Linked DNA regions of Neodiprion lecontei. The protein of the gene in region 2 binds, or shares a complex with, the protein of the main gene of each other region. Links are inferred from orthologs where the notes say so. Each region holds a gene or a part of one and is shown on either strand. Other genes may lie near its edges.

Region 1 (10,210 bases), on a different chromosome or scaffold from region 2:
CGATGCGTGTGCGCGTGTAGCGGCTATCTAAGTCAACGCTATAGCACGCGATCCACTTGGACGTAGTATGCTGTGGCATTTCATAACGAAGAAAAATTTCAGAGAAAGAATTTTGCTCTCCGGTCTCAGCATCAAGCTCCGTCAATTCGTTATCATTGTATAAATATATTATTGCACATGTATTACGTGCGCTTGCGTAACGAGCCGTATGCAACGCGTTAGCAAAAATTACCGACTCATCGAAACATACTGAAGTTAGTAACGTTGTCGTAACGATTTCTGCTGAGGAAAAACCGTTGTTACTTCACGATTTTGAAACTGTCTGAAATTGAGTAAACCGTAATAAGAAAAAAACATGCTCATATTTTGCAATCTTAGTTCCTTCGAAATCATTGTAAAAATAAGATTTTTTTTGTAATTTATTCCCAGTCTTTCGTCGAGCGAACGTTACCAACTTCAACCTCGTCTTATTTAACACTAACGATTGCACCGCACGTTATATCATTTACGAACATAGCGTAGATACATCTTTCTCCTTTTTGTTCTTCGACTTTTTGTTCTTCTACTTCTTCTGTACTCGTACAATCAATCCGTCAGAATAAATGTAATTAAATTACACGTTCAAACCTTCTCTTTGATGCCGCACGCGAATAGAATTTCAAAAATGACGTACACCTATAGCATAATATGCGCCAGGCATGAATAACAGGAGGAGAAAATGATACGCAATAGCGAACAATGAATGCGACGATCGTTGACCGGAATCGCGGAGCGATAAGCGCCGGGTCTCTTCCGCTCTCGCCATTTCTCTGTTTTGTCATTCGTTATACGCATGTATAAAATCTTTACGCTGCTCGTCGCCGAAGCAAAATGGTAACCAGATAACTTGTGTTGCAAGACGAGAATCGAGACTGAAATTGCGACGACTCGCACGGTCAGCTGATTGTTGTGAGGCTGGATCACGAGCGAAGCCAGACGCTGGCGGTTTTCTCATGCTGCACTACCGTTACTCGCGGTCCTCCTTATTTCGCCACATGCGTTGTTTCTACACGTGCATATTGTACATGTATACAAGGGTGTGTCGCAAAACCACGTTTTTCGAATTTCGACGCGTACTGGTGCGGAAAATTTCGGTCTTGACAAAAAAATATTGAGTGATTCCAAGGAGAACATTTTTGGTTAATGTTTTCAGCTTGAGCAAACAGTTTTAAATTTAGGAATTTCCATACTACAGCCAAATTTTCCCGAATATAGTAAGGAAAACAAGAATAATCAATACTGGTTCTTTTTTTCAATAGATAGCAGGTAGTAAATAGGACTTTCCTTATTTTCCATTTTGAGCTGCATCTCTCATCCGTACCACTATAAACTTTCAAATAATATTACAGTTTTCAGAATGATGGATCACACTTGGGTACACATAAAAGGAAAACCCTGAGTCAGTAATGTGGTCAGAGTTAAGTCGGGAACAGAGCCGTATACGTAACACGCGAATAAGACTCGATTATTCCCTTCTTACACAATGTACTGTAATATTAATTTCCTTATTCTTCTCCACGTCTCTCGTACGCGAGCATTTCATTTTTACGTTATAATAATAAACAACAAACGCCTGCGTTATTACGAGACTTGGACGTCGTTGTTTATACGCCGGGTTTGACAAACTCTTATTACCATACAATGCAGTTACGGGTCCCTAATTCTTACAATCAGCCATATGACGACGAGAGAGACTCTCTGCCTCCCCCCCACTGCTCGCGATAATTCGTACAATCATGCATTTACATTGGCCTTTAATACGCTATTTATATGTATAAAGAAATTACATCCGGCGGGAGGATTGCATGTGTATATGACGTACTACATGCCTGGGTGCGAGTGTGTAAGTATGTTTCGAGAGAAGAACGGTACAACGGAAAGCGCTGCAACAGAACCGTGACACATATCCTTTATTACGTGCATAGCGCGCAGTTGAAGAAAGTATTACAGTATGTACGATATTCTGTAAGCGCATCGACGCATAAATATGAAGGCGAGATGAACATTCGGAGGGATTTGACGAAATTGTGGTTTGAAAAGCACCTGCAGTTATACGCGACACAATATATACATAACGCGTAACCTGTCGAGGAACGCGCGCCACGCGTGTATACGTATACGCATGTATATCTGTAGGGTAGATTGTACGGGAGATCGGAGATAGAGATTATATCGCCCGTCGGGATTTCTACCTGCCGCTCTTCTTCTCGACGACCCCACGTGCATATAAGCCTCGTAACCCCTGAACCCCGAATACATCAAAGCCGATTCAAAGTATCACACACGAGTTCACACGGTGCGTAATGTTTGTTTCATTCGAAATACCGAGTACAGCCGACGAGTACGCTCTGCGTGCATATCGTTAGAAGAGTGCGATATTACGCAAAATGCGGATAGGAAGGGTTGTTTAAGGGGATGCCCTGGTCGGTTTCGACGTTGGACGTATATATCTCCGAGTATCGAAGTCCACGTATCTCAAACGCGAAAAAAGGGTTTAATAAGCCCCATTCGTTACACACGATACTGAACAAAAACACTCCAACGCATTTTCATTTAGACGCAGAAATAAAGTACTGGCACGATTTCCATGAAATCCCAATAGTAGATTCGTAGATTTCATGCCATTTCTTTATTTATTCGTCAGATGAAAACTCATCGGAGTGTTTCTGTTCAGAATTGTGCAGAAAATGGGGTAGTTTAGCCCTATTTCGCGTTTGAGATACGTGTACTTTGATACTTGAAGCTAGGTAGGACAACGTTGAAATCCACTGGGTCACCCCCTTGAGGAGCGATGAAGTTTTTACCACAAAGCCTGGCACGAGCACGGGTCTATTATCCAATATTATCTCCGTGTCGCAAGGTGTTAGTTTAAAATAAACGTGAAAGGGCGGAGGCGCGGGATGCCGTTGCATGCACACCGCACAGTATGTGCGTGCGTACGGGCATGTACGAGCTACATTGATATGTATATATATTATATACACATACATATATACACACAGATCTGGAGGAAGGGGAGGTGGTGCGTTTATAACGCAAGCCGGCGCGGCGTGCGGCCGCCTAGACAAACAACCAACGTTTCGTTTCTCCTCCTCGACTCGACTCGACTCGACTCTACGCCACGCCGAAAATACACCTTTGATGATGCCTGACGTTCGGTTCGGTCGGCCTGACTGCTTGCTTGCTTGCTTCGCTGCCTGCCTGTCTTACCGCCGATAAAATACGCGCGATCTCCCGGTTAATATCATCGTCCGATTCGGTTGTGCGTTAAACCCTGTCACAAGTCACGTAGCGCAAAACGACGGTCGCATGTGGGTTTTACTCGTTTTACTCCCAAGCATGTACGTACACGGTTTGAGACTGAGACGAGGAGACGGCGGTCAGTTACTACAGCGAATGGGTTTATTGAAAGTGTGCAATTGGCCGCGCCAACGGAGCGACGAGACGACGATGAGAACGGGCCGATTCAATTCGAGATGATGAGGCTGAAGTCTGTAACGTTAACGTAACGCGAAAGATCTGGGAAAAAAATCGTCGTTGCACAGTTTTAGAATGACTTTTCAAATAGTAAGCTTTTCGAAAATAAGAGTACATGTTTTGTTTATCGTGGTTTACTAAATTGCAGACATTACTAATAAATGGTGCAAAGTAACGATTTTTCCTTAACATGCATCGTTACAGTAACGTTACCAACTTCACGCTCATTATTCGAGGCGGGTCTTCTTCCGTAACGAAGCTCGTAATCGCGGGGGATCAGCTCGTCTCCTTGTGCTATTTTCGAGGCCGTAGGTTCATGACGCGATTTCTGAACCGAGTTTCGCGAGGTTAAAACTGTTCTTCTTCTTCTTCTTCTTCTGCTTCTTCTTCTTCTTCTTCTTCGAGAAAGCAAGAGAGGAGGGGATAGAGAGTGGGAGATTAAAGGCCGAAGATTAACGCCGGTCAACAGTAAAAATCAAGCCAGCGTAGACAAGAGCCGCGCTACCTGTACGGTCTCCGCAATGCGTCTCGCTCTTCCTCCTTTTTCTTCTTCTTCTCCTTCTTATTTTTCTTTTTCCATTTCCTTTTCTTCTTTGCAGAAGTTCGAAGAGCCCCGCAACGCAGGAACGGCGGCTCCAGCCATCCAGCGGCTGTCCGACCAAGAGTCAGAAGAAACAAGAAAACCGAGACGGCGGCGGCCTCGAGCGTCGCCTTATGTATAGTACACGCAACGACGTGTGTAAATATCGATGCGTCAGCGTTAATCTTGGAATAACTTCGAATGAACGAAGCGCGGCTGATGCTTGCACGGAAGCTACAGCCGGACCGAAGGAGTGCGGATCGAGTAAACACGCGGTGAAGAGACGGTGACGGGTGATCGGATCGTGATGCCGATTTTCACTTTTCGATACACAGGCATATGTGTGGTACGGATATATAGGAATATGGATATATATATATATATATATATAGAAATGCCTGTCGCTAATTGGCAATCAACTCACCAAGGTCTTCGACGAGACGAAGCATGACGCCACCGATGTGAAGTTCCCCCTTAACCCGGAGGCTTCTCTCGACCTGGAGATCGGTCACGAAGACGCGCAGCACCCAGCTGCCGTCGACCTCGTGTCCGTCGGAGTACATCCTGTTTAGCTGACGATGGCCTGCGAGCCGAGATATATACCTGCGAGCGAGCGAGCGAGTGAGCGATTCCGGATTTCAACGTTCGACGCACTTTGCCCGGCTGCCTGCCTTCTTCTCTTCCCTCTTCCCTCTTCCTCTGAGCCTTTGTTACGCTCTTCGAATCAAATCTCGCACTATAATCATGGCTGGAATTTCTCTTCGTGTAAAACTTTATCGAACGACGAGAACAAAACAAACGAAAAAAAAAAATAAAGAACAAACTTTTGCAATACCTTTGCGCGCGGTTTTATTTTATTTGCCTTCGGAAGGACGAAAATTCTATCCGCCTTGGAACGCGCGATCTTAACTCGACACCGACACACCGGATCTACGTTACTATATATCTTCAGCCTTTTTCCACGGCTTATCGACAAAAGTTTTCTTATCTCCCACTCGAGCGACCGTTACGCGACTCGACGACAAACCAGAATACTCCGGACGGCTCAGCGGTCTACGCCGTACAGAGCCATCCGTGCTTGTCCGTCCCGGTCCCCCCCTTCAGCCGCTTCGCCCAACATCCACGACCGACTTCCGTTAGCTCCGCATCCCGTTTTCGTTCTTGTTCATTGGTCGCCCACCTCGTGGCGCTGCGAGACGCATCTGATTGTAAGATCGAGTCCTACCTTACCGCACGCGGTAACTTGACGTTTGGTTACCCACGCCGTGGCGCTATTTTTGAATTCCGTACCTGAGTAATCGGGAAAACAGAGAACCGTGTTAAAATTTCGTACAACTATAAACGGTGTATAATATGAAAAATAATTATTACAAGATTTGCAATACGGTGTTTCTACTAACGAACCTTCCGATTAAGAACTACGATCGATTAATTGTTGCTTGTAATTCCTGCCAACCTATCGTACGGACTGCTGCAGCGTCGAAAAATGAAACTGCTTAGCGGGAGATAGTCGGATAAATACGAAACCTCGAAAATATGTACTTGGTATATGTACTTTACCCTTGCGAATTCACAGAATTCGCGACATTTTCTTTATTTCTGCGTCAAATGAAAATGTATCGGAGTGTTTATATTCAGAACTGCGTATAGAATGGGGTTGTTAAGCCCGTCTTCGCGTTTGAGGTACGTGGACTTTGATATTTGGAGATATATAAGTCGGCGTCGAAACCAATCAGGGCAACCCCTTAATATTATTAGATGCTTCAAAAATTTGTGCGGAGCATCGTTTGCAAATCTCAAATTTACAAAACTGACTGATTAATTTCGGAAACAACTATTTTTGGAAATACTTAAGGTTTTCCTGCGGGTTTTATAATAAAGCACTTGATCACAAGGGTCGATAAATTCATTTTCCCGTTCCATTCTCATTCGTGGACGAGGAGCGGAAATTTAATTATTTTCGCATTGACAGTACTGGGAAATAAATCTAACATCCGATCCCTTGTGTAATCAGCATCTAACAACACGCATGCCTTTTCCTTTCATACTGTATGCAGAGTCTGCGATACTATAGATATATAATAAATATTCATGACACAAGTACTTTTATACAGAGTAAACTAGTAAACATTTATGCAATAAAAAGTTTCAAGTTCCAAATTAATTTTCATCGAAAGGGCGGCGTTGTAGAATACTTGAATAATCTGCTCCCCTTACGCTAATACAGCTATAAATGAATTGAGTCTGCATCAACATTTCTAAATAATAAAACCGTATTCAGTTTGAAATTGTAGAAATAGGAGCGGGTAGCGCATAGTATTTCGAATTCCTATCAATAATTCATTGAAACGTGACCTTGTAGTGGCATTAACGTCGTTCTGTCCTTTCCTGTCCGCCAAAACATAGAAATCAAATCAAGTATCTGTCGCGGACGCTTGGCAGGTATTATAATTTCCAATGGTTAAATTAACATCGTTCGCCAATATTTCTATCATAATTTATGTCGCTTAGATCGATAGTACTTTGTTAAAGGTCACTTGCATGCTGTCGATACAGTGAATTTCCTTTCTGGTCCACGACGTTCGTAACTTAGGAAATGAACGGAATCTCTAAAAATTATATTATCACTGAAAGAACGAATGATCGATTTTAACCCGTAATAAGTTATGTCGCACGATCGACCTAATTTTCTAAAAACGTTTTCTTTCATCGCTGATTGTTATTTATCGATTGTTCAGATGTCGTATTATCTTCGTTCACGCCTCATGACGGAGGATCTCATCGAGGAAGATGGGGATGCAGGTGAAATGATCAGTAGTAAAATGAGCCAATAAATTTTTGGAGATGGCATTGAATTATTTTATTTTTTCAAGCCCTGAATCACCAAGGTCGACGTTTGAAACAAATACACGTTTTAAAACACACCGTACCAAACTATTTTTTTATTTTTTTTTTTGCACGAATGTGCGATGCCGCACAAGTACCGTCTTGAAATTTCGCCAAGAAATATGAAAAATTGAAGAAGTTATGAATTTCTAAGTGAAGATCCGTGTTTTGTCGAAAAAATTTTTCTTCAGACTATCAAATCAAAATTTTACAATTAATCACTGAGAGCATATTTTTCAATATTCAAATTACGTCTCTAAATTATTTCACGGCAATATAACGCATCATCCTGCTTCAGTAATCGCTCAAAGTTGACTCCTGTCAAATTTACCCTGTGTAATCGTTATAAAACTGTACTGAAGTACAATCAGTACGGGTTGATTGGGCGCGAGAATTATTTTTGAAGCCAAGAATTACGAAAACGATAGGATAATAAACAGAATCTGTCGTTACGTAAACTTGTCGATCCACTATTTGAGTGAACGTTTATCTGGAAATTAAGAATTCGTAGATTAAAATACCCACAAGATGTAAATATGTCTACTCAAGGAACTGTCCAAACCCTACAACCTCGGCGTACAACCGTATTCAAGTCTACGACTTCGTTATCTGTTGGACAGATCCATCACTAATATCATACCTTACAACATCGACATTTCGATACGAATGATCGGCATAATCCGTCACGTATCGATCAAGGATTATCTCATAGCATAAAGATCTACCGAAATGTATGTGCATATTATGTTTTCATTATAGCTCCGAAATCTGAAATACAGACACAACTCGACTCGAATTTTGGAGGTAGCTATATTTAATTTGACCACTGGTTCTCTCCCACGACAGAATCTTAGCCTACCTTTGCCAATTATAAATACGAGTCGGCTCTTCATCACTGTTCCAGTGATAGCAGTGATTTTGGCTAGTTGAATAGTTTCGACGGTCTCAGGTGCTCCGAGAGGCGGTATCCCGTTTTAATATACCGCAGTTTTCGAGATGTCCGTCACACTCGCGGACGCTGGTGCAGCTGCACGTGATGAAACAACGGTCGAGAAACTATGCGAGGAGGCATACAGAGAGAAAATTGCCGAACACTGGACGTGGAATTACATTTGGAATAATATCAAATGGAGTCAGTTTATTCCCATGGTAATACTCAACGTTGGATTGGTAGGATCCCTGACGATGTACGCCTTCGGACTACATTCGATACCCATTAAACCGATGACCGTTGCTTGGAGTGAGTTATACGAAATCTAGCCTAATTTATTGAAGTGCTTCAAGCTGATATTCCTGAATCTAATACGTAAAGTCGGCATTCAAGGCGGTCCCTTCGTTGATTGCTAAATTTATATTAAATAAAAACTTTTTACGAACAATTTAAATGAGGTTGAAATTCGTAACGTCAACGTACCGAAACGCGGTGAGAAAAATTGTAATCTCACATCATGTTCGGAACATTTTTCAATGAGTTTATTTTGCAAAATATGAGCTGACTTTACTATGTTTTGCTTAATCTCAGACAATGCTAATGTTGCAAAATAATCCGTTCTGCCGAAAATGCATCGCTTTAATAATGCTACGAACTGCAACCTCGTCAGTATAATCCGTTGATTTCACTATTCGAGAACACTGCGATGAACGTTAAATACGTGTCATAATCTTCAATGAAAAGCATTTTTTACAACCTTAGGTTTCGATGGTTGATTTGTGTTACACCTCCAATTATAGCCGATCACCTAAGGTGGACGTCTGAAAGAAGATTTGCTTGCACAAGAGAAAATTCATATTTTCTATCGAACTAAATATCTCTCATAAGTTCGAATGATTTACGATGCATCAAATTATGACTATTTTGTACGATCACCTTCGTAACAACAAATTTTCTCGCGTTTACAGCGCGTCATAATTTTATATACATATTAAGCTAATGCCCTAGCACCAGACGATTGAATTTTATTTCAGAAATTTGAACTTTTCGTAGGACTGACTGTAACGGAAAAATGTACTTGACATTTGAATAAGCAGACTTTTCGAAGGTTCGGAACTCTATCAATTGGAATCAGACAAGTTTCTCAACTCGGAATCTAACATCAACCAATAATTCCCTTGAAAACTAATGATTTCTCACAACTTCTGCAACAATGGCTATTTTATTTCGTTAATGCCGCAGTATTCATCGTCGGTTGTGGAGCATTCGTTGGAACAACGGCAGGAGCACATCGGCTCTGGTCTCACCGCTCGTACAAGGCAAATCTCCCGTTGCGAATACTGCTGATGTTCCTCTACTCCGTTCTCGGATTGGTAAGCGTACCCCTGATCAAAGTACCGAGAAATTTGAGAGAGAGCAAAATAAAAGCTCGTTAAAAATTTTCCATCGAACAATAGTTCGTTTTTCAAAATCCGCGCATTAACGAACTTCACAGTACACGATCTACGACTGGGCAAGGGACCACAGGGTCCACCACAAGTACGTTGAGACGGACGCAGATCCCCACAACGCTAAGCGGGGCTTCTGGTTCTCCCACATGGGCTGGCTCTGCGTCCATCGTCACCCGGAGTGTCTGCGCCGAGGGAGAGAGGTCGACATGACCGACGTAAGGAACGACAGAGTCGCCATGTTCCAGAGAAAGTACGACGCCCACTTTTCCGTCTAATTTCGATTTTTCGCATTACGATTATAATTGGCAAGAAGTGAGAACTTATTTATTCCCGACTCAGCCATATAATGTTGACTTTTTTTTACCTAAAAAGCGGGACGAAAGTAGCACGTTATTCCGTCTTGAGGGGTAACGTCAATGTAAAAACCTGAAACACGCGCATTTTTTTTTTTTTTTTTTTGCCCGCGAGAATCCAGAAAAAAAATCCTTTTTTCTATTTTTTTTCCTAATTCAAATTTCCGCCATTTGCAGAATTCAACATGTACCGCGAGAATGGCTCCAGTATCGCCATTTTTAAATATTTTTTGATAACAATCTTCTGTATTATACTTAAATGTATGCCTAATGACATCCTTAAATATTATTATCTTATTAGCGTTTCTTCCGTAAAAAAAAAATTAATCAAAATAGCGCCTTTCTATTTTTTTTACAGTAGTGTTACCAGTAAACAAATTTACGGGAATAATCTTTGACTTTATTCCTTGGTCGCATAATGTACTATTTCCTAATTTTTAATTCAGATACGGTACCATTCTAAACATCATATTCTGCTTCACATTACCGACGA
Region 2 (9,891 bases):
ATCTCTGAAAGAATAGTTATGTGAACATGAAACAGACTTGCAGCACTCCGTACAATTATAAGTTTCCAGAGTTGCAGAAAGAAGTAATACCTTTTTAGTCCCATTACGAGATGCAGCAGCTTGTTGCGATTCAGTATCTGAATTACTCCCATCACTACTGTTTGAAGACCGCTGACCAAGCTCAAAATTCCGAGCCTCATCTAGACGGCGCTGAACAGTGTTTAATGATTCTGAAAGTGCAGCAGAATCTCCCTGGATTTCAAACAAATTAGGTAAGCTTGGTAATCTAAAAGGTTTCATGGATGTAATCACTGTCTTTTGATCGTCACTCGAGGCTATATCAAAAGAATTTTTTCCATCGGTTGCAGTGATCACAGGGGTTCTTAAAGGTAAGGAGGCAGCTCCATCAGTGGAATCAAAACTATTATCTGATTGTAATATATCTTCTCTAACGCTTCTTGATAATTCTCCAGTTGTTCGAATAGATGAAGAACACTCTTGTTCTACATATCTGGTCGACGATTTCCCTGGAATTTTCACAGGTAGATGATCTTGTGAATCTTCTTCTGAGGTCAACAGTTCTCCACTTATTTTTACAGGCATTGGGAGGTCTTTTAAAGCAGGTTGAAAACTCATTGACTCGCCAGGTATTTTCACAGGTGGAGATTCGGCTATTTTCTTAATGTTTGACGAATCACCAGGAATTTTTGAAGGAGGATCTTGCGATTCTTCTCTAAAGCTCGAAAATTCTTCAGGTATTTTTACAGGTATATGAGAATCTAGTGTCTCATTTTCGAAACTCATTGACTCACCAAGTATTTTCACAGGTGGAGATTCAGTCTGTTTTATTAAGTTTGCCGATTCCGCAGGAATTTTTAAAGGAGGTTCTTGTGATTCTTCATTAAAATTGGAAAATTCTCCAGGTATGATTACAGGTGTGAGAGAATCTAAAGCCTCATTTTCAAAAATCATTGACTCTCCAGGTATGATCACAGGCAGAGATTGAGGATTTTGTATAAAGCTTGTCGATTCCCCAGGTATTTTTAATGAAGGATCTTGAGGCTCTTCTCTGCAGCTCAAAACTTCTTTAGGCATTTTTACAGGTACAGGAGCGTCTAATGCCTTATTTTCAAAACTCATGGACTCACCAGGTATTTTCACAGTTGGAGAGTTAGGCTTTTCCATATAGTCTGCTGATTCCCCAGATATATTTGGAGAAAAATTTTGCGACTCTTCTCTGAAGCTTGAAAACTCTGCGGGTATTTTTAGAGGAAGAGAATGGAGATCCTCTGCAAAGTTGAATGATTCGCCAGGTAGTTTTTGAGTATCAGTGGTTTCTCTAACTAATAACTCGAGAGAATTGCTATGGTTCTTGTCTAAACTGTTGATGTGATGAATTGAATTCTGGTTAGGTTCTTCTATAGCACTGATACTAGCTAAGTTTGGTTTACTAGATATTAAATTAAACTGGCTGTCATCGCTCGTATCTTTTTCAGCTGTACCAAATGACTGTGGTTGCAAGAAATTTTTCTGTTTACTCAAAGATTTTCTAATCCCCGTATTCACATCACGAAAAGTATTAGACACATCAGTACTAGAAATTTCTGGCATTATATTCGTACCGTCTTTTGCTGAATTAGTTAGTGAACTTGTACTTGGCAGGCTCTGAGCAGAGCCCTGAAACAAAAACTGTTTTCTTATCAACTCTTTACGTCCTAGTGATGAAGCGTTACTCCCACTTAATACATTCATGGTTTTGTCTATTATTTCTATATCATCAGTTGATATCGACCCATCTCTTGACATTTCCATACCACCTGGGACACCTTTGTCATTAATTGACTGTTCAGGTACCAACAATGTCTGACTAAGTTTGTAATCATTTGCCGTACATCTCGTAATTTGTTTTTTACTTTTAGCGATGCTAATTGAATTATCGGACGGTTTTTTTCCCCCACTATCAACGTCATCAATGACGTTGCTGGTGGTTGCATTGTGGTTGTCAACAATCGAAAATCTGCTTTCAAAATTCTCTGTGTTTTCGTTAATAATTCGCTCCTCACGTGGAAAATTCTTGTTGTTCATAGCCTCAGGCATATCTAGCATAGCGGAACTTTTCCCATCATCTTGATCAGAGGAAAGTGCCGTCATCTCCGTCTCTGCTGGCATCTTATCAGAGCATAGCTATATGGTTACTCACTTCAATTGATTGGCCACTGGCAAATATTGCTGAAAAAACATAAAGGATACGTGAAAAATGTATACTAATCAAATACTTACATAAAGACTATATCGTGTTTTTGCAAATAAAAAACATACTTTCAAGATGTACTGGTGATAAGACATATTTTCGGATGCGTTTATATGATAATCAACTTTTGGTTACTGGAATAAATAACGAAATTTGATTATACTATTAAGTAGCGTAAGTAAATTCGGTAAATATATAGCGGCGTGTGAGGTTGATCTCGTGAAGAATAAAAATAGAATATTCGATATTTCGAATTTGCTGACGTTGGTATAGATTTTCAAAGCTCTCGACTTACCCTCTACGATTGAATTTCGGCATTCCAAAGTAGATAGATCAACAGATAATCACAAACCACACCTCCAGTTTTGATTTTTCATTGGTATTCGGGTATTATTCAGTCTAATTTCCGATAAATCGTACACTTCTGCGTATAATGTGGTGTGTAATTACGATGACAGGTTTGACAGCAGGATGTAGCAGACAGAATCTAGGGATTTTTTTTCTTTTTCTTTTTATTAGTCATCGCTTGCGTTTTGAAGCGAGATATTACGATTTGACCCGCGAAAATCAAATAAGAACAAAAAAAAAACCACGGCCATCAAGAATAGGAATTTGATTATTTATTAATTGAATAAATTCCTTTTATTACAGTTTTAGTCATTTGTTTCGGTCAATGCCGTCGCTTCAGCCTCTCGCCTTTTACAGATTTGGATTGCTGTGATGAGTCGCGCTGCACGGTTCATGTTCTCTTCGAGTTCTTTATAATTACAATTTACCTCGCTGGCGATTTGTTGCACCTCTTGAAGCGTCTGAGAACCAAGAAAAGGATAGTTGAAAATACAGTTTGAGTTATGAGTTTTTTTTTATGACGGTGCAGTTCAAGTTGTCAAAGCTAACCTTCTTTATGTTCCGATAAAGCTTTGCTGTTTTTTCCTCGTCGAATTGGCGTGCGTATTGTACATAGCTGCCGGAATAAGAGGAAAGTGTGTCACTCATGATACATGTAGAAACTATATTTGTACAATAAATGAACTATAGGATTTTATCAGGATATTTTGATTTCTTGACATGCGTTGTTTCCCTCGCAAATGAAGCTGTCAACACAGGCTGTCAAAATATATCAATATGGCGGGCAACGTATTTTTACACAATTCCATTTCCGGATTTCAAATACGACTGAATTGTAAGGTTACATTACGTCCAGTATTTTCAGAACTTCGGGCACAGACTTGCTAGCTTATGGCATAAATTAATTTTAGACCCTGCTCCTATATGTATATAAATAATAATATCAACTGTGGTTGCGGGATGCGAATTGTAGATAAGAAAAACTATCGAGTAACACCGTACCTGCGTGATTGTCAGTCACTGTTTCAAAAACTTATAAGGAAAATTTGCGATTTAAAAAACTAATTATAAACTCTACATTAAGCAGTTCTGTTTCTGTGAAGTTCAGTTTTTTCGATATACTGATATACACGATGTAAAATTTAGTAAGTGCGTATATAAATTGTTTGCAAATAGGGTTTCTGGGTGCACTGAAGGCGCATAATTAAAATCCGAATACGTAACATTTGCAGCTTACTTGCGAAACACGAACCTTATATGCATGCAAAGTTGTATTATGTTTCAAGATTATTTAGATTTTGTAGCCGCAGCTGAATGATCGCATCATCATTGAACGATGACTAATTCGTCGCTGATTTCCCACCGGAAACTAGCGGATACGCGGTTGTGGTACAGATACTTAGTAATCAACATATAAGGCAGGATTGGAGAAATATTATACAACATACATACTCCTGTGAACAGTCGGCGAGGTTGGGCGCAAAAATAGTCGTATAGTCGCGTACCGAATTAGTACACTAGACATCATCATTAGAGCTGAATAAGCTTATTTGAATTTCCCGCTTATTTGGAAAGTGCATTCGGCGAGATGTAACGAGCGCGTTATCGTGAATAATCGGATAATCTCGGGTCTTTCTCGGGTGCATACGGGACGGATGTGAGTTCATCGATATAACAATACTCGCATATGCTCAATTCGAAATAACTCTTCTGATATTTTGTCCAACTCTAGTGACCAGTCGTCTACCCGACGTTGAACGAACGGCTCGTTATTGAGTCGTTATTCCGTGGCGGTGTGGGGTTGCCTTTTATGGTGATCCAAAGTTGTGAAATTATTTCTTCGGAGTTTGTGATGTTATAAGGACAGCCGATAATCACCTTCAAATCTAGAAAGTAAGAAATGTATATCAAATTTCATATCCGGCCTTACCGAGTTAAAAATACGTATATCAAATTTATGGTTCACGGATTCTCATCTCCGTAACCTTTTTCATGCTAATGCGGTGTCTTGTAAATATAGAGATGACGGCATTAATGGATGGGTAATCGAGACGTGTTCTCAAACCTAAATGATCTGCAAGTGGAACAAATCTTTGTCCCAAAAATATCACCGTTATCACCCTTCGATTTACTGGGCAAAAACCTTATTCTTAAGGGACAAATATAGCGTGGGAGAACTGGTTTTCGGCCGCACCTCACTCGCGCATTTCACAAGTACAAATACCATTTATGACAACGTTCTACGAAACGAAAGCGCTTCTTGTTATTAATGTGCGTCACAAGAAGTAGTGAGGAAATATCAATCCTTCGATCAAATCTAAGAAACATTTGATTTAAAAAATTTCCTCGACCCTGCAAGTCAAACGGATCCATCTCTTAAATTTAATTAGATAATTAAACAATTACTGAAATAAAATTTCACGTTTTCATTAGTACCGAACAATCGCTACACCCGTTTACAAATTAGATACATTGTTTTGCTTGTTGTCAATATTCTCAACCTATTATTAATTATTATACAATCAGATGTCGCTCTTGTTTATAAAATTTGCTAATATGGATGCAAAAATGTTGTATACGCCATTCATGCGACCATTTGTTTGGTAAAAAAATGTGATATCCAAAAACAAGTTTGTAAGAAAATGTTTCAGTTCTATATAGTGAATCCATTATCTTACTTTCTTGTTTGCACTTTTGCTCTTGAGATAAGTATGCATGTTTCCAGCTTGTGTTCTTAAACGTAGCAGTATAACGTATTATTTTGGTATTCAGTTACAATTGAAAATTTTCAGTGATTTTTCCGTAATCTAGGGATGAGGAAAAGTAATTTTTAATCAAATTTATTGACATTGAATCATGTATATCGGATGATTTCATGCCAATAATCATTCACGTACGAATATGACCAACCAGATACCATCATCACAGCATGTGATATTACCAAGTAAAAGTATGATGTCTTACCTTTGGCTTACTAAGAAAATCTGACTCAGCAGCTTAATAATAGACTCCTGTTGCTAAATGTGAGGGTGTAGAAATAAGAATCCTAACTGACCAAAGAAGTATTATATTTAGCTACAATGATAACATTAATTGGTATTATTAATTTTTACTTAAATATGTCAATTTTGATTACTTTATGCAATGCACGATGCCGGTACTTTGCAAAATAAAACGGATAATGTTTCATTGTACATTTATTGTGGTGGGTTTTTTCAATGGTCAGTGTACTTATCATCGAGCTGATTCATTGGAATTCATTTCATCTTAAATTTTACATTTCTTGTACTTTTATTTTATACTTAATTTCATTATCCTCTTGCTGTACAAAGTAATTTACACTTTACTAGAATGCGTATTATTTCTCTCTTAGTTTCACATATATCTACCAGTTTCTTTCAATTATTATTCCAAGTAGACAGCATAATCTGTTTTCATGTTAATTTTCAACTGTCACACGATATCCTTATAAGGCTTTCTGTATAACCACATATGGCTAACCAGGAATACGTAGGGCAACTGAATGTCAGAAGATAACGTCTATTTATTTAGAATTAATATTCTGCTAACTTTGTTACAAGACTGTATTCAGGAATTCACACGCTTGTAAATAAATTTTAAAAAATTTGACTCTTCAGTATTGATATCGAAAGGTGTAATTTGTTGCATAGTAATGTTTAGTACCATTGTGTACTATTGTGTCAATGAAGTTGCCTTTTTATTTTAGTAGGATTTTCAATTTCATCATAATTAACAGATGCGGCATTAGATTCAAATTTCCTTTGCTTAATACTTTTATATTGGTTTTTTATTTTGCGATTGCATTGAATAAGGGCAATCCTTTTCAATAAACTGTGCAGTACAGCGGTTCTGAATTTGTTGAGGTATGAATTCATACTTGTTCGGTTGCAGTGAAATATGCAGAATGTAACACATATCCATTGATCTACAGGGATGTTTGGCAGCTTAGAATGGGCCCTGGCCCTTGTCACAGCGATAGTTTTTGTTGCTGTCAAAGCTGACTACCCTCTACCTGAAAGACTCACTGGAATGAATCCCTGTATCAGCAAGCAAACCTGCCACGAATGTATACAAACTCCACATTGTGCTTGGTGCGCTGCTCCTGTAAGTTGGATAATTTTTTTCTATGTTAACAAAAAACCCTATGTAACGGAATGGGCTACCCTGTTGTTACATCTGTAAGTATATGTAAAATATGTATTCCTATGTTCACAGAAATTTTCGGAGATGAGGTGTTTTTTGCCAAACATAAACACAAAAATATATGCTACGTGCCCAAAGAAATATACGCGGTATCCGAATAATGTTTATGATGTGATTCGGCACGCGGAATTAACAAAGGGTGGTTATTCATCTGTAGCAGGTGGTAGTGAATTTGAGCAAAGTTCATCCTCTTCTTCGTCTTCCTCATCGTCTTCCTCAAGCTCTAGCTCTAATCATACGAGTTCTAGCAGTGGTAGTAGGAGACAGGAGGCGATTCAAATCTGGCCTCAAGAAGTCGATTTGACCCTTAGGATAAGTGAGTGAGATTTTTCAAATTCCAATTATTGCTAATTGTTGACAATTTTGCTATTTCCTGAATTATTAACAATATTTTTTACCAGTGAATTTTATTCTTATATGCAATAATTACTTCATTCGTCTTTTCCATTGCTTTAGATGAGGTGCATACTATGTCTTTTTCATACTCTCAAGCCGAGGATTATCCAGTTGATCTTTACTACCTCATGGACTTGAGCAAGTCTATGGAGGATGATAAAGAGAAGTTGTCACATTTGGGAGATTTATTGGTGCAAAGTATGACTAAAATAACAAGTAATTTTCGTTTGGGATTTGGTAGCTTTGTCGACAAAGTAGTTATGCCCTATTTCAACGTTGTGCCTAAGTCGTAAGTAATGAAAATTTAGTTTCATTCAAATCCATACTGTATCTAAGGTGTGAACAGTTGTTGAATGTTGGTGAATGTGTGCATAGACTTGGAAAAGCAATCAACAAATTATTATTTATATATTTGTCAGATGTTATGTTTGCTCAAAAATTGAATTACAAAAAATATTACAGGAATTGAGAAGTTTAGAAAAGACAGAACCAACGATCCTTGAAGTTGTTTAATACTCATATAGCAGAAGTAAAAAATAAATTTTATGTTTCAGCCTTGAGGAACCATGTCCTGGTTGTGCAAAACCGTATGGCTACAAGCACATCATGACGTTGTCACAAAATACTAGTGTTTTTGCTGTAAGTATATCTAAATTTTATTAGTCATCTTCATAATAATTTGTATCTATGATATTTATGCAATATGTCAGCACTACATGGTATTGTGTTGATATGTGTGTCCAATTATTAATTCAAAGATTGAATAACGTATGCAATATTAAATGCGCATTCCTTGCGATGATGTACAATATTATTTCTGTCAATTTATTATTATCATTAAATATTGAATAATGCACATTTTAATGGAACTAGTCACTTAAATTGATTTTCAAGCTATAACTCCATTAGAAATGACTATTAATGGTGAGAAAACTTGATTTCGCATAGTAATTGAACATTGCTTTGCCGATTATAGGATTTGGTTCGTCGTGCATCAGTGTCTGGTAACTTAGATGCTCCTGAAGGAGGATTTGATGCTATAATGCAAGCAATTGTGTGTCGTGATAAGATAGGATGGCGTTCCAAAGCTCGCAGACTTTTGGTATTTTCAACTGACGCAGGATTTCACTACGCCGGGGATGGCAAGCTTGGTGGCATCATAAAACCTAATGACGGACTATGCCACCTCGACTACAGTGGGCTGTACACTCAATCAACATCGCAAGATTACCCCAGTATATCGCAGATTAATCTCAAAGTAAAGGAGAATGCGATCAATATTATTTGGGCTGTAACTGAGGGTCAAATCCAGATATATAGAAGGCTTACAAAGCATATCGAAGGTTCATTTGCTGGCAAGTTATCTGCCGACTCAAGTAACGTAGTGGATTTGATCCGCGAACAATACGAGGCTATTTCCAGTTCTGTGGAAATGAAAGATACAGCCAGTAGTAGCATAAAAGTGAGATACTACTCGAGCTGTTTGGGTGCTGGTCCCCCGATAGAAACATCGAAATGCGATGGCTTGAAAGTTGGTACCAAAGTGGATTTCTTTGCGAAAATTGAAGTTACCAGCTGTCCTAAAAACAGATCTGAATGGAACCAAAAGTTCAATATTTATCCAGTAAGTAGTTCAAACTTGCAGTATGGCTAATAAAGGTTTGAGAGAATCAAATTTGAAGACTTAGTTTGAAAAGCTAATACCTCCTTGATGTTTCAGGTCGGTATCAACGAAACTTTGACTGTTAATCTCCACATGATATGTGATTGTGACTGTGAACATGCTTCGCACCCCATGTACCAGATAAATTCACCTGAGTGCAATTCAATGGGCACTTTAAAATGCGGGGTCTGTGATTGTTACGACCAGTACTTTGGTAAAACATGCGAGTGTACGCGTCATCACGAAAGTGATCAGTCCGTTATGCGTGACAAATATTATCAAAGCTGCAGACCGGATAATACATCGTTGGTTGACTGTTCTGGAAGAGGTAGTTGTGCCTGTGGTGTATGCGATTGTGATACCAGACAAAACCCTGATGAAGTAAGTTTTCAACTTCCTAAATTTTATGTATTCAAAATGTCAGGTCTGATGATGATGCTTGATAATAGCCTCAATTATAATTTTTAAAGTTTTTTATTTGATCGATTGCACTAAATAAAAAACAAAAAGATTAATCAGTAATTCTGTGATCAGATTTATATCTGATAGGCTTCTCTACGATTTACGAAAATTATATAAATTTACACAGTATCGAAGTGCGAAGATATTAGAATAATACATATTCGGAATTATAGTTTGAGAGACTTTATCTAATATTGTTATAGGTGATTTCTGGACCGTACTGTGAGTGCGATAACTTCTCATGTGATCGTCACGACGGTCAGTTATGCTCCAATCATGGAACCTGTGAATGTGGTGTGTGCAGGTGTGAGCCCGAATGGACTGGACCAGATTGCAATTGCCCATCATCAAATCAGACTTGTAAAGCTCCAGGATCAACTGAAGACATTTTGTGCTCAGGCCATGTAAGACTTGTAATTAGAAGAAAACAAATGTGATGTGAAATTGAATTTGCTTTGGAATTGTCAAGTTAACTCATTTTTGTACAAAGCTTAATCACTATAAGCATATTTATTGTTTTAAGTTGTTATATTTTTTTTGTGTTTAG
Region 3 (12,574 bases), on a different chromosome or scaffold from region 2:
TATAACAATATTTGAGTCACAAAATTGTGCTTTTTCCGTGTATCTTATTGCATTAACGTTATGAATTTCAAGCTGCTAAAACTTACGTTTTCATCAACCTACATAATTTTCTCTTTTCACGCTTATGCTTTAGATCGTTTCGAGTACGAATTTTCACCCATTGTGGTATTCTCATAGTTATGTAGTAATGCATGATATATGATACAATTTCATCCTTGTGTTGTTCGCTAGGAAATGAAAAGCTGTAATTCTGTATCATATCAGACACAGTAGGTTCATATACAAAGGAATTCTCAGATTCTATGTGCTCACAGAAGTATTTGATCGGGGTTGAAATGTTTTTGGCAAACATATTGAGTCCTTTTTATAACTATCCCAGTAAGAGCAATTGTATCTCTCCATTTATTACATATTTCGATTGCTTTGGGAACGGTGAAAAAAGATATATCTTCCCTACACTCGTCTTGCGCACGTTGATGACAAACATGACTCCTGCCCATATTTAAATAATGTTTTTTTTCTCATAGTTTATAAATATCGTGTTATTGATTTGTTTTGAACACTGCGTTTTGCCATTATTGTTTACAATGGTCCTACAGATCTGTAACCATCTGGTGGGCGTGCAACGAATTATGCTAAAATAATCACAAGCACTTGGCATTGCGGGGATAGGGCAGCCCGACCACCTATTATTGTTACACTGTGGTTTGAATTCACGTGGATCGCAACACTATCGCACTTTAAATATTTTACACTATCAGCAGAATCCTGCAACAACGGTGGATGGTATAGCATTGAGTGCTTCTCAAAGTGCAGCCCTTCAGAACGCACATGAAGCCTCTACTGGGTTCTTCGTCGCCCAGGACTCGGCCTTTGGTAACTTGATCCTGCCAGTATTCCCGAGGTTTGAGATCCAGTGAACTACTATCAGGCATATACAAGAATGGTTATTGTGACTATAATGGTACCCATGCGATTCAGAGAGCTGGAAGAGTGTCTTCAACAATTAGATGGATTTGAAGAGCCAAAAATTCGTCTTGAACAATATTCCACGAGCGCTCACATCGGGGCGCACATCCTGCACACAGCATACACACACTTTGACGATATAGGAGGAAAGGCTATTGCTCACTTGGGTGCAGGGTGTGGGGTACTATCACTCGGGGCCCGACTTCTTGGCACTAGTCATGTCGTCGGATTTGAAATTGATGCCGATGCGCTGTCCATGCTCAAAACTAATTGCCTTGAGTTAGAAACTGATGTCGAGGCAGTTCACTGTGACCCCAGTTGTGATGAATCTGCCTTTTGGCTCAAAACGCAATGTTAGAACGGACGTCAACTTTTTGGAGACAACAGTTAGTATTGCTTGACATGCCGTCTACTCTCTCCACAAGACTAGCACCCGGGATCATGTGGTTAGGACTGCAAAACGCCTTGGAACAACGGCAAAAATCGTCGCTGAATTACGATACGATCTTCCTGGAGCGTACAAGTTTCACAAAAATACTTCCATTGATGTCCAAGTCGATTTTATAAGACTTGAATTGGATTAGGTAAACAACATGAAAAGACACTCATCCTCACTAATCAATTTCTATGTGTAAGCATAATGGAAGATTTAATAAATTTGTACAGAAATAGTGTTGTAGTTCTTTTGTTTTGTTTCATTGTTATTTCTACCTGCATAAATTATGGTTTGATTTTTTCACAGTTCACTCGAATTTGATCCCTTGAGCCAAGGGTAATTCATTCCCATAGTCGATCGTTATTGTTACCCGTCTGGCATAGTGTTTCCACGCATCACTCCCATTCCTTGTCCTCAACCAGTCGCTTTTTTCTCCACCAAATGCTCCAATTTCTGCCCCGCTATATATCTGTATCTACAATACTCTGGTACGACAGCGCAATTAGTGGGCAAACAAGGAAAACAGTTTGGTCACACTACGATAACAATCTCCACCACTTAAAAATAGCAGAGTTCCCAGGCCTGTGTGCGTTGACTGAGAATATATCATAGTTTATGGGATATATAAAGACTGACCATGATTATGTGGCAGCTTTGGTTGTCAATTGCAAAATATATCACGTGACTGGGTTTTTGTACCCCAAATTGAGAAAGCAAAATGAGTGTCAAGTATGTCACAAAGCCTTTCAGTCAGTTAAAGAAAATGATACTCTTGGCGAAGAAGAATCGATTAATATGAAAACCAGAGGTGGTTCAATTCATGGCAATATATTTCTGTTATCTCTTTCATTAGCAATTGAGAAATACTTCTGTAAGCACATAGAATCTGAGAATCAATCTGTATATGAACCTACTGTGTCTGATATGATACAGAAGTACAGATTTTCATTTCCTTGCGAATAACACAAGGATGAAATTGTATCATATATCATGCATTACTACATAACTATGAGAATACCACAATGGGTGAAAATTCGTACTCGAAACGATCTAAAGCATAAGCGTGAAAAGAGAAAATTATGTAGGTTGATGAAAACGCAAGTTTTAGCAGCTTGAAATTCATAACGTTAATGCAATAAGATACTCGGAAAAGCACAATTTTGTAAGCACACTTAACCAACTTCGAAATCACAGTCGCCGAGCCGCAGCCGTACCACCTATTATTCCATATCATTCTTACACCGTGGTGCCGGTGTTAGCCTAACTTTTTGCAGATGCTTTACGATACCGTCACGAGCGCATGCGCAATGCCGTAAGATAGAGATGAAGCTACATATTGTGTATATATATATCAGTGACATATTATGACGCTATCTCTTTCGGCTCGCTCATGGAGACTAGAGGTAAGAAGTCTGAACGCAATGCTAGCCAAATGATCGGTGAAAGTGATGAACGATCCGCGGATTGTAACCGCCTGGCAGCGCTACCACTGCAGGCTCCGTCAGCGCGGTGATTTTGAATCGTCGATCCTACGTATGTATCCTATTCGTAACCAGGCGCTGGTATCGCTTGCGGATACATCCCGTCTACAAGATTTTTCATCACTTTCACGAACCACTTTTCGACGATTCCGCCATATGCGTTCGGACTCCTTTACTCTAGTCTCCATGGGCTCGCTGCTCCTTTGTGCCGTGTAGGCCGTGTAGGATAGCAGGTGTAGGTTTCAGTGTCGTTGCTGTGGTCCGTGTCGACAAATAAACGCTGCATTTCCGTAATGCCTGGTCTACACATACGCTGTAAGTGGGGGTCTTAAAGTGCGCCTCCATTAAAGCTGATGTGTAGCCGAGTTTATATGAACTTCAAGCGCCTTCCACTCAAAGATTTTCTGAATTCCACTTTAAGCTCAATTTTCAACGAGAAGTAGTGCCAATCGTACCGAAATGACAGATTAAAATCTCGCGTGGTTTGAACCCGTTCTTTGTGCTTTGTTCTTTTCCTCGGTCGGCATTTTGCCGTAACCAAGTTTGGTACATATTTATTACTTGAACAATTATTGATATGAAAATATAATCCATGTTCAAGTATCACCAGAGTTTACAACAAACAAAATGAGTTTCGAATTACAGATGAGAGATATGTTGATTATAAGCTATTCAAAAAATGAAAAATAAAAGATAGGTAAGTGATTATTAATTAATGAATAAAATTGCGGAGAACATTGCATTATATTGCTTCATATATTGTATTACTGAGGTTATAAACACTAACTGACAGTTTTTAAGTTCTTCTCGTTACTCCGTTTGATGGCTAACAAGACTTTCTAACCTTCGTGTAGACCAGGCATAAGCAGTCGGTAAGCGTAGGGCATTGCCGTTACTTCCGCACCCTTTCGCTTCTTCAAAATGCCCTATTGAGCTGGCCATCATGAGCGTTCTTTAGCCAATGGCTAAATCGGAATGTCGATCATGGCAGTGCCATCTAGAGACAATTCATAGAAGCTTGAGACGAATGAATCTGGGAAGCAGCGATATGATCCCGCATGCGACATCGCACGATCGCACACGGTGATTTATAATTAGAGATGTCAGCGTAAAGAGTTACACAATATTTGGGTGTGTGCCGATGGAGTTAGAAATACGATCGACAGTGTTAACGATTCATAAATTCTCATCCCAGAGTTAAAATCGTCGAGTTATACGTTTGGTGTGTCCAGTAGCTAATTGCAGTTTATTACAATCATTGATATACGTGCGTATAAATATGGTTATATTTAGAGCGTGACCGAAGTTGCTCTTTTTCGGACGTGACGGAGTCGGCCAGCTATATTATTTTTAGAGAGCGTTAATTAATTGTTATAAACCCCTTTAACAATGGAGGATATATTTCACTGGTGCCGTGAAGGAAACGCGATGCAAGTTCGCGTCTGGCTCGATGACACCGAACATGACATGAACCAAGGGTAAGATCATGGGAGTTGCTCATTACCATTTATGGTTGAACGCTGGGAAGTCCGCTGCAGTTTCGCAATCAGCTGATCTTGACGTGTTTTCAGCACTTTTTAAAACTCTTGTCACTAGTTTCCAAATTATTGCAGGAATCGGAATAATCGCTACATGATGCAGGACAAAATTATGAAAGCTCTGTAATAACGAATCTTTTGATACATCAATGTATAATATTTTTTGTACGAGAAATTTCTTATCAAAACTCTACCACAATCTTGTTATGTTTTTTTCCTTAGCAGGAAACCAATGTCACCCATCCGTATTACTACACTGTGTAAAACATAATGCATATGCGTTGTACTTGGAAGACCCAACATTATTATGTCTGAAATTTTCAGTAATTTGTGATATAGTGAAACATACGCATATTTTGCTAACTACTTTTTTTGAATTCATTCCAGAATTACAGAATTTATATTGCTAATTTGACTACCCTCAGTCTCTTACCTCTGTAAATATGTTACTGGAATTTGATAAAATAATGAAAGAACAATTGTCACAGAGTGCCAAAATTGGTGAAGAAATGTTTGTCAAAGTTTCCTCTTGTCTGCACAACAATGATCGACTTGTTCACTTTACTTTTTAATTTGTAAAATCAGTTTTGTCAACAAGAAAATGAATGTCACTTTTATCTACATGAAAAAATAAATGATTATTCTTTTAAAATAATGTTTGAATCATAATCACAATATAAATTGTGAAGAAAAAAATTGTACTGACCTGACTTATTGAATTTTTTTTACTCTTTTTCTCCTTTGATAAACGAACTTGCTTCCGAAAAGAATAATGTTTGATTTTCATGTCTTGCCTTCCTTTTCTCGTATAATTTAATGCGCCGTGGGTCGGAAAAACCAGTTCAACATTTCGTAAATTTGGTGATACCCTGTTGATATTGTAAGCAAATATTATATGCAGTGACGATTTTCTTGACATCGACAACAAGAAATTTGTTTACGTTATTGCTCTTGATTATAGCCGAAAGGTAGGCATTATACAAATCAGAAATATGACTCATGTTCATGTAAATTTGAGGACAGTGCATTATTTTAAATATTACATTTCCAACTAACAGTGAATATTCAAACATTCATATAATTCAACTCTTGTTTCCATTTGTTTTAATTTTCATCAGGGATGATCACGGCTTTAGCCCGCTGCATTGGTGCAGCAAGGAAGGCCATTCAAAGTTGGCTGAATTGCTCGTGATGCGAGGAGCTCGCATCAATGCAACGAATAGAGGAGACGACACGCCACTCCACCTTGCTTCAGCACACGGGCATAAGGACATTGTTCAGTTGGTTAGTATTCGATATTTGTCGTACTCCTTTGTATTATTATAAGGAGAGCATCTGAAAAGTTACACCCCAATAGTCTCGAAATTAAAAACTGTGTTCAAACAACAAAGATCGGGTCAATAGTTTTTTGCAAATCTTTATCATAGATCAGCTAGATAAAATTTGCTCTTAAAGCCAATGAAAATATGTATCGGTGAAATTGAGAAATTTTTTTAATTGCAATTCTCTTCTTTTTTATAGCTGCTGAGAAATCGTGCCGATGTCAATGTGACCAACGAACACGGAAACACCGCTTTGCATTATGCTTGCTTCTGGGGTGATCAGGCGGTGGCGGAGGAATTGGTAGCCGCTGGAGCTTTGGTTTCCATCGCCAACAAAGACGGTGATACTCCGCTGGACAAGGCTAGAGGACCTCTGGCAAAAAGATTGCATGGTAATGGGATATACTTTCTCTTCTTTATTATTGTAAAATGTTATACATAATACCTAGTAATGAAGAAAATGTACTTCGTTTTTTCAGATCTCGCCGTTGAATACGGACAGGACTTGAAAAAGATTCATTTCAAGGATCAAAGTTGGCTTGGATTGAAAACCAGGAGCAGTGAGTATCAAAATAACTAAGTCAATGATTCAAGGCGTGGATTAAAGAAAGGCTCGAAACAATCGACTCTGTTAATATTGTACCTTTATATGCTTGTGATATTAGTAATGGTCAGTATCTTTTCTTAATCTGCGTCAAGTTAATTTGAGATTTACTCTTTAATTTTTTAACTTCTTCTCAGCTCTATTTTCTGCACTCTTCCATTATTTACATAACAAAAAATGCCTTTTGACGTGGATATGGTCGATTTTTCTAAATGAAAGTTTCTTGCGATCGTTCACATTTCCTCGCTATTGCAGTAAAACAGATGAGAAAATCCATGTTTTCGCAGGGGATGCAACTTTGTCAAGACACAAAGGAATCAATATGGCGGACTTATCGCTACATACTCACTTGGCGAGTAGTCCGAGCGGTGAAACCTGGAGAGGACGGTGGCAGAACAACGATATCGTGGCAAAAATACTAAACCTCAGAGAATGCACCTCTAGAATATCAAGGGACTTCAATGAGGAATTTCCCAAACTCCGAATTTTTTCTCATCCCAACATTCTCCCAGTTCTTGGCTGCGTTAACCAGCCTCCACAACTCGCGACCGTCTCTCAATACATGGCCAGAGGCAGTTTACATCGACTTTTACATGGAGGAACTGGCGTCGTTGTCGATACAGCTAGGGCGCTCAGATTAGCATTGGACGTTGTGCGGGCCATGGCTTTTCTGCACGGGCTTGAAAGGCAGAGCAGATGTAGATTTCATCTTAACAGTAAACATGTCATGGTAAGCAGGGGAAGCAAAAATTAAAAAAACACTGCGTAGTACGTTATCTGATCTTGCAACTAGGTTTCATTGAAAGACACCGTTACAGGGTGGCGACATAAAATCTAAAAATTTTGCAGGGAAATATTGGGAAGATATTTCTTTTTGTTTTTCAGAATATTTTCAGTTATTTTGTAATAATAATTGACGACAAATTGGATATCAATACGATTGCAATAAATCGAATAATTTTTCGATTTTCACTTTGATGTAACAATTACTTAATATTACACACGATTCTCTAAAAGGTACCTTGAACAGCATATGAGCATTTTTGAATCATGATATTGGGTATTAATGGCGCAAAAATGGCAAGGAAGCCGGAGAAAATAGGCTCATTAAATCAGGAAAATTAAAAAAAATTAAACAGTCCGATTTCTGGTGCTACTCTGTATTAAAATATTGAATTGTTTCATGAATCCTGAGAAGTGAGCATGTTTCTCATGATTTCCAGATAGACGAGGATCTCACTGCAAGAGTAAACATGGCTGATTCTAAGTTTTCATTCCAAGAAGTTGGAAGAATTTACGAACCCGCTTGGATGTCTCCGGAAGCATTGAATAAAAAACCTTCTGACATTAATCTCGAGGCCAGCGATATGTGGAGCTTTGCAGTCCTGCTCTGGGAATTGGCAACCAGAGAAGTACCGTTCGCTGATCTTTCCCCCATGGAATGCGGCATGAAGGTCGGATGCAGTTACTGCAATTCCAGCTTCCGTATGACAAACTTGCCTTAACGAGTCGAAATCTTATCTATTCCAGATCGCTATGGAAGACCTGCGCGTCAGTATTCCACCAGGGATTTCTCCTCATCTTGCGAAGCTGATTCGCATATGCATGAACGAAGATCCTGGTAAACGTCCCTCGTTTGATATGGTCGTGCCTATTCTTGATAAGATGAAACGCTGATGGGTTACAAGAAACCACATTGTGTTCATTTAATGTTCTTATTTTATATACACACATGCATGTATGTATACGTCGTAACAAGCACCAAACTGCTGCATTCTTTTAATACAATCTAACGTAATATATATAACATCGTATAACTTTTTCACTTGACTTAATAATAATAATAATAATTTGCATTCACATTGCATGTTCACATTGGTGCCTTGAATATTTGAAATAACTGTAATATTTTTGATAGAATCTATGTATACTATACAAAACTCCTGCCTCCATGATTCTTCCAACTTATCCAATGTTTATTATCATAGACTTGAACCATGAATATTTGTTGAACCAGTATGTTTCACCGAATACTCTCAGTATATTATTCATTAGTATACATATTATATATTTGTATTATACATTTTCACTTTATATACCCGTAATGGATACTTGTAAGCTGGAGTTGAAAGCTTTATCGTTGATGCCTTTGTACAAATTATCAATGTTTGATTTTTTAATATTCTACCGAAGGTCTGAGTTGCGTTCTACACTGTTTTATATACACCTATACATATATAATTCTTCAAATGTTGAATATTTATATGCATAAATATATTTATATTTATTTGTCGATGTCCGCTTCTTAGTGAAGAAAAAAAAAAAAAAAAATTGTAGAATTAAATGCTTGTCTTGACCTGCATTGTGCTTGCCACAAGGAAACATCTGCAATACTCTGTAATTGTCCTTGACATTTCTTTTCGCAATTTTTAACGCTAGAGATTAAAACAATGTGTATTTTTAAGTCTAACGATCTTGTCAATTTATGTTCAAGTTTCATTATTTACAATTCGCCAAAAAATAAATAAATCTCAACTAAATCATACATTGAGTTTCAATACGGTCTGCAAATTCGGTTGGATGCAAACCATGTTTTATCGATCACGTCTTATCAAGAAACAGGTCTAATACAAAGTGTCTCAACTATTTCATTCCTGCCGTAAAATACCTTATACTTAATACTAATTATGCAATACGCATGGTCTGTCCTTGTTACAATATGTTTTTTTATTAATTACGTAGTTTTATATACATCCACCAATGTCACAATATCAAATACCTATCAACTTTTGCGTAAAAAACAGTTCATTCTAATCAATTTATAGTTGTTCCCATAAATTTCGATATGTCCTAAAACGAAGTCCTGCAAAATTTCTAGTTAATTACGAGACATTGCTTGCTAATAATTGAAAACGCAGAATATCTTACTGCTAAAGATTGTTTGATATCCGAGGATTGTTTATAATGTGGCCTCCATTTCTTGGATAGGTAATGTAAATGAGGGAAAATAATATGGATTAGTGTGGAACAGGCATTTTTCTTTATTGGAGATTAACAAAAAATTCAAGTTCAACTTTCCAGAAACCTCTTATCACCTCAAGTTCACCTGCCGTTGTAAGAATCTTGTATTACTGTCAATCACAGCGATATTGTGAATTCAAAAAACGGTGCAACGAAACTGTGAATGATAAAGCGATATCTTTTGACAACTGAAACATTTATTACACAACTTATATAATTACTGTTAATTCATGAGCATAAGAAATCCCATTTGCACTTGATTTTTGTTTCTTACATAAGCTGAACGTACAATCTATTCGGATAAACTTATTTCGACCAAAGAATTTTTAATTGACAGGATTAATGGTTATTCTCGATAAATATAAAACGCGATTGTCTCTAGATTGGCTTTTAAACGAATTACTTTTCTGATGTCAATTACATTTCTTGTGTGGTATAAGTTGTAATCGCGTGAATTCAAATTTAATTGACTATAATTATAGGATTGAGTGCAATGAAAAGACGGGTCATTTATAGAATAATGTGTTTCAATTATTTCTCTCGTCAGACTGATCATTCAATTGACATTAACTTAAGTTGAGACCAAATTCATTGACCAGGAAAAATATATTATATTCAGCTTGTACGACGTATTCACATTATTTGAAATTGGGTGAGCATCAATTCAGTTTCATAATCATTTATCTGTATGAAATGTAGTTGAACGATATTTTTGTTACAATTATTTCAGTTTCAGTATTTTCTAATCTTTATCATCGTATGAAGGTGATATTAGTGATATATCGAAAAAAGCTAGAAGGAATTGAATGATTCAAAACTTGAAAGATTTAGGGTCAAAGCGAATGTTGACAAGTATGGAAAGATTAAAAAAATTTTTTTTTTAAGTATCCCTTCTTATGTCAAATTGTTTCACTTTTACATTCAATTCGCTTTCATTTGCTGTGATATTCAATTCGGCATACTCAGCTGCTATTTGATCGATGTTGTGTATAGTATAATTACTTTCTATACATCCTCAAGGACAACACCCTTCTTCTTATATTGTGACGTACGCTGCAGACAGTCTGTAAATTGACATACACTGCATATTCAATAGCCTGGCACTTGAATACTATTAAATACTTGCTTACTGAATTGCCTGATATTGAAGACTGACGAGATCAAGGCTGTCGACATAATCAGTGCAGTAATAGTTCTCGAATCGTAAGTATAGTATAGTCACTTGTTATCGCGATAGAAGAAATTTTACGACTACCAAGAAAATCAATTTGTTAACGAATTCCACGATACATTTTTTCCAGAAGGCGCATTGAAGTAGGTTGCCCATTTTTTCCGTTACAGTGAGTTTTTGTTTCGGGATTTAACAAAAATAAAACTGCAATCAATTACAAATTTTCACTGATATTCCACTAATTTCCAGTGCATATACACTGACTTTCGCCAGTGGTATACTTATAAGTGATCCGCATTCAGAGAGAAAGATAATAATTGGTGAAATCAAAAGTGGTCAGTTTCAATCGCATATTGAGTTGGCATGCATGCCCCATATTTAAATTTTCCAACTAAAATCATTGTCAATATATTGTGAATTTGAAATTTATGACAGTGAAATTATGAATCCATTATAAGAAATTTTCGTTGTATATTACAGTGGACTGAAGGTATTGAAAAAAAAAGAGATTGAGATAACTTAGCTGTTTAATTTGAAATTAAATTATCCACGACATTAGCGAGTAGTTGAAATTATGTGAGATCGATTTCAGCCTCATTACTAACGGAACTACAGGAAAGCAAAGGAATTCTTGAAGCAGAAAACTAGATTTTGTTGGAGCTGATTCACTTCAATCCGATATCCCTTATTTGTTCCAAATACGATGACTTCAACAATTTCAATTTAGTTAGTTGGTTAAAATGATTTAGTCAAGCGAATTTCTTGATTCAACTGAAGCCTTTCTTGTCGCAATAGAGTGAACTATTGATTCGAGTGAACTTTTTGATGTGTTTTCCTAATTGGATCAACTAAATACCATTGCATTCGAAGTTGATGTATTTTTCCTCTAAGTCGCATGTCCGTTGACAGAAACAATTGGGTTAGGTTAGGTAAATATACTTCAAGTAAAATAAATGCATGAATCTAGCTAACAAAAATTTACATCGATTAAATGCCATTCTTTCTTATCTAACCGAAGCTTGTTTGGCGTAACTGGTTGAATCAGTTGCACTAATTTATTTACGAGGTAAAAGAAAAACCACATGCTTGAAACAGGTAGAGAGTATATTCGGCGTAATTATCGGTATGCTAGTACTATTAACGTCCGCTAGGCGGTGAACTTTCTCGCTACGGAAATAGCTTCAGAGATATTTATAAAGTCGGGTAGTCCGCTTAGCAGATTCGGGGATGACGCGAGATAATACTGTCGATAAAGATGTAACGAATGAAATACAGCATCTATTAGCAAGGTGTTGAGACGCTGGAATTGTGATTAATAATAACATTTAAGAAATATATATGTATAAGGCGCATCTGATCATAGTTAAACATCTACGCACACGTCAATCTATCGAGTTAAAACTATTAACTTATTCAATAGGATGGCCTGGCTCTAATAAGAGTCGGAAGCCCAGCCGTTAAGGTGCGTCGGATAAAATTTTGAGTTATTTCAAATACACATTTTGTTGATACAAAGTTCTCATAATCGCAAGGAACTCACGCCGTGCTATCTTGACTAAAATGATCGTCAACATGATCATTCAAAGGCGGCTTGATTCGATTCTATATTATGTTCTCATATGTATTTCGCCCGACAAAAATATTTTGTTGAATTAAAGAAGTATTGTGTTCGCCGTATTTGACTTAAGGATTAGTTGAATCAAGCAAATATTACTTGACTTGAATTATCGTTTCCCTCCGTTCAGTTATTACATATTTTTACTCAAGACCCACTTAAGGCTCCAGAAAGTTGATGTTGATCTAAGAAAGATTATAGCACTCGGGCTTATTCACTTGTTGGATTTTTACGGAGTTGTATGGGATCTTTCCCCTTTCTGGATTAAAAATTTTACTGATTGTTTTCGGGCCATTTCATTTTTTGTTCTGAAAAAAGTGTTTTCTTAAAAATTTGTACACATGTTCAAATTTTGCCGCCATACGCAATGACGTTGTCGGTACGGCCCTGGGTGTAGAATGAAAATGAGTTTGATAG

The links.
Region 1: integrin beta-PS (region 2) and unc-112-related protein share a complex: the UniProt entries of both Caenorhabditis elegans proteins name them as parts of the integrin containing attachment complex. The link is inferred for Neodiprion lecontei from reciprocal best matches to the Caenorhabditis elegans genes pat-3 and unc-112.
Region 3: integrin beta-PS (region 2) and integrin-linked protein kinase share a complex: the UniProt entries of both Caenorhabditis elegans proteins name them as parts of the integrin containing attachment complex. The link is inferred for Neodiprion lecontei from reciprocal best matches to the Caenorhabditis elegans genes pat-3 and pat-4.

The regions. Positions count from the first base shown.
Region 1 is NC_060263.1:388,285-398,494, reverse strand, and holds the start of unc-112-related protein, read right to left. Parts: upstream 4,660-10,210; coding exon 4,521-4,659; intron 4,443-4,520; exon of another isoform or gene 4,116-4,442; intron 4,024-4,115; exon of another isoform or gene 3,171-4,023; intron 1-3,170. Other genes in the region: acyl-CoA Delta(11) desaturase-like, read left to right, coding at 7,979-8,222, 9,156-9,286, 9,409-9,614, 10,164-10,210. UniProt on the Caenorhabditis elegans protein: Component of an integrin containing attachment complex, which is required for muscle development and maintenance. Probable regulator of cell-extracellular matrix adhesion. Required during initial muscle assembly to form dense bodies and M-lines.
Region 2 is NC_060261.1:40,084,944-40,094,834, reverse strand, and holds the start of integrin beta-PS, read left to right. Parts: upstream 1-4,340; 5' UTR 4,341-4,492; intron 4,493-6,551; 5' UTR 6,552-6,553; coding exon 6,554-6,724; intron 6,725-6,835; coding exon 6,836-7,139; intron 7,140-7,279; coding exon 7,280-7,508; intron 7,509-7,773; coding exon 7,774-7,858; intron 7,859-8,195; coding exon 8,196-8,843; intron 8,844-8,939; coding exon 8,940-9,263; intron 9,264-9,547; coding exon 9,548-9,748; intron 9,749-9,891. Other genes in the region: uncharacterized protein LOC107220248, read right to left, coding at 1-4, 91-2,169. UniProt on the Caenorhabditis elegans protein: Integrin alpha ina-1/beta pat-3 is a receptor for laminin. Integrin alpha pat-2/beta pat-3 recognizes the sequence R-G-D in its ligands. Plays a role in cell migration, morphogenesis and probably in cell-cell interactions.
Region 3 is NC_060266.1:7,821,557-7,834,130, reverse strand, and holds integrin-linked protein kinase, read left to right. Parts: upstream 1-3,904; 5' UTR 3,905-4,275; coding exon 4,276-4,364; intron 4,365-5,542; coding exon 5,543-5,708; intron 5,709-5,945; coding exon 5,946-6,138; intron 6,139-6,225; coding exon 6,226-6,306; intron 6,307-6,637; coding exon 6,638-7,080; intron 7,081-7,573; coding exon 7,574-7,804; intron 7,805-7,880; coding exon 7,881-8,027; 3' UTR 8,028-8,895; downstream 8,896-12,574. Other genes in the region: SOSS complex subunit C homolog, read left to right, coding at 762-920; rRNA N6-adenosine-methyltransferase METTL5-like, read left to right, coding at 944-1,327. UniProt on the Caenorhabditis elegans protein: Probable pseudokinase that acts as an adapter protein. Component of an integrin containing attachment complex, which is required for muscle development and maintenance.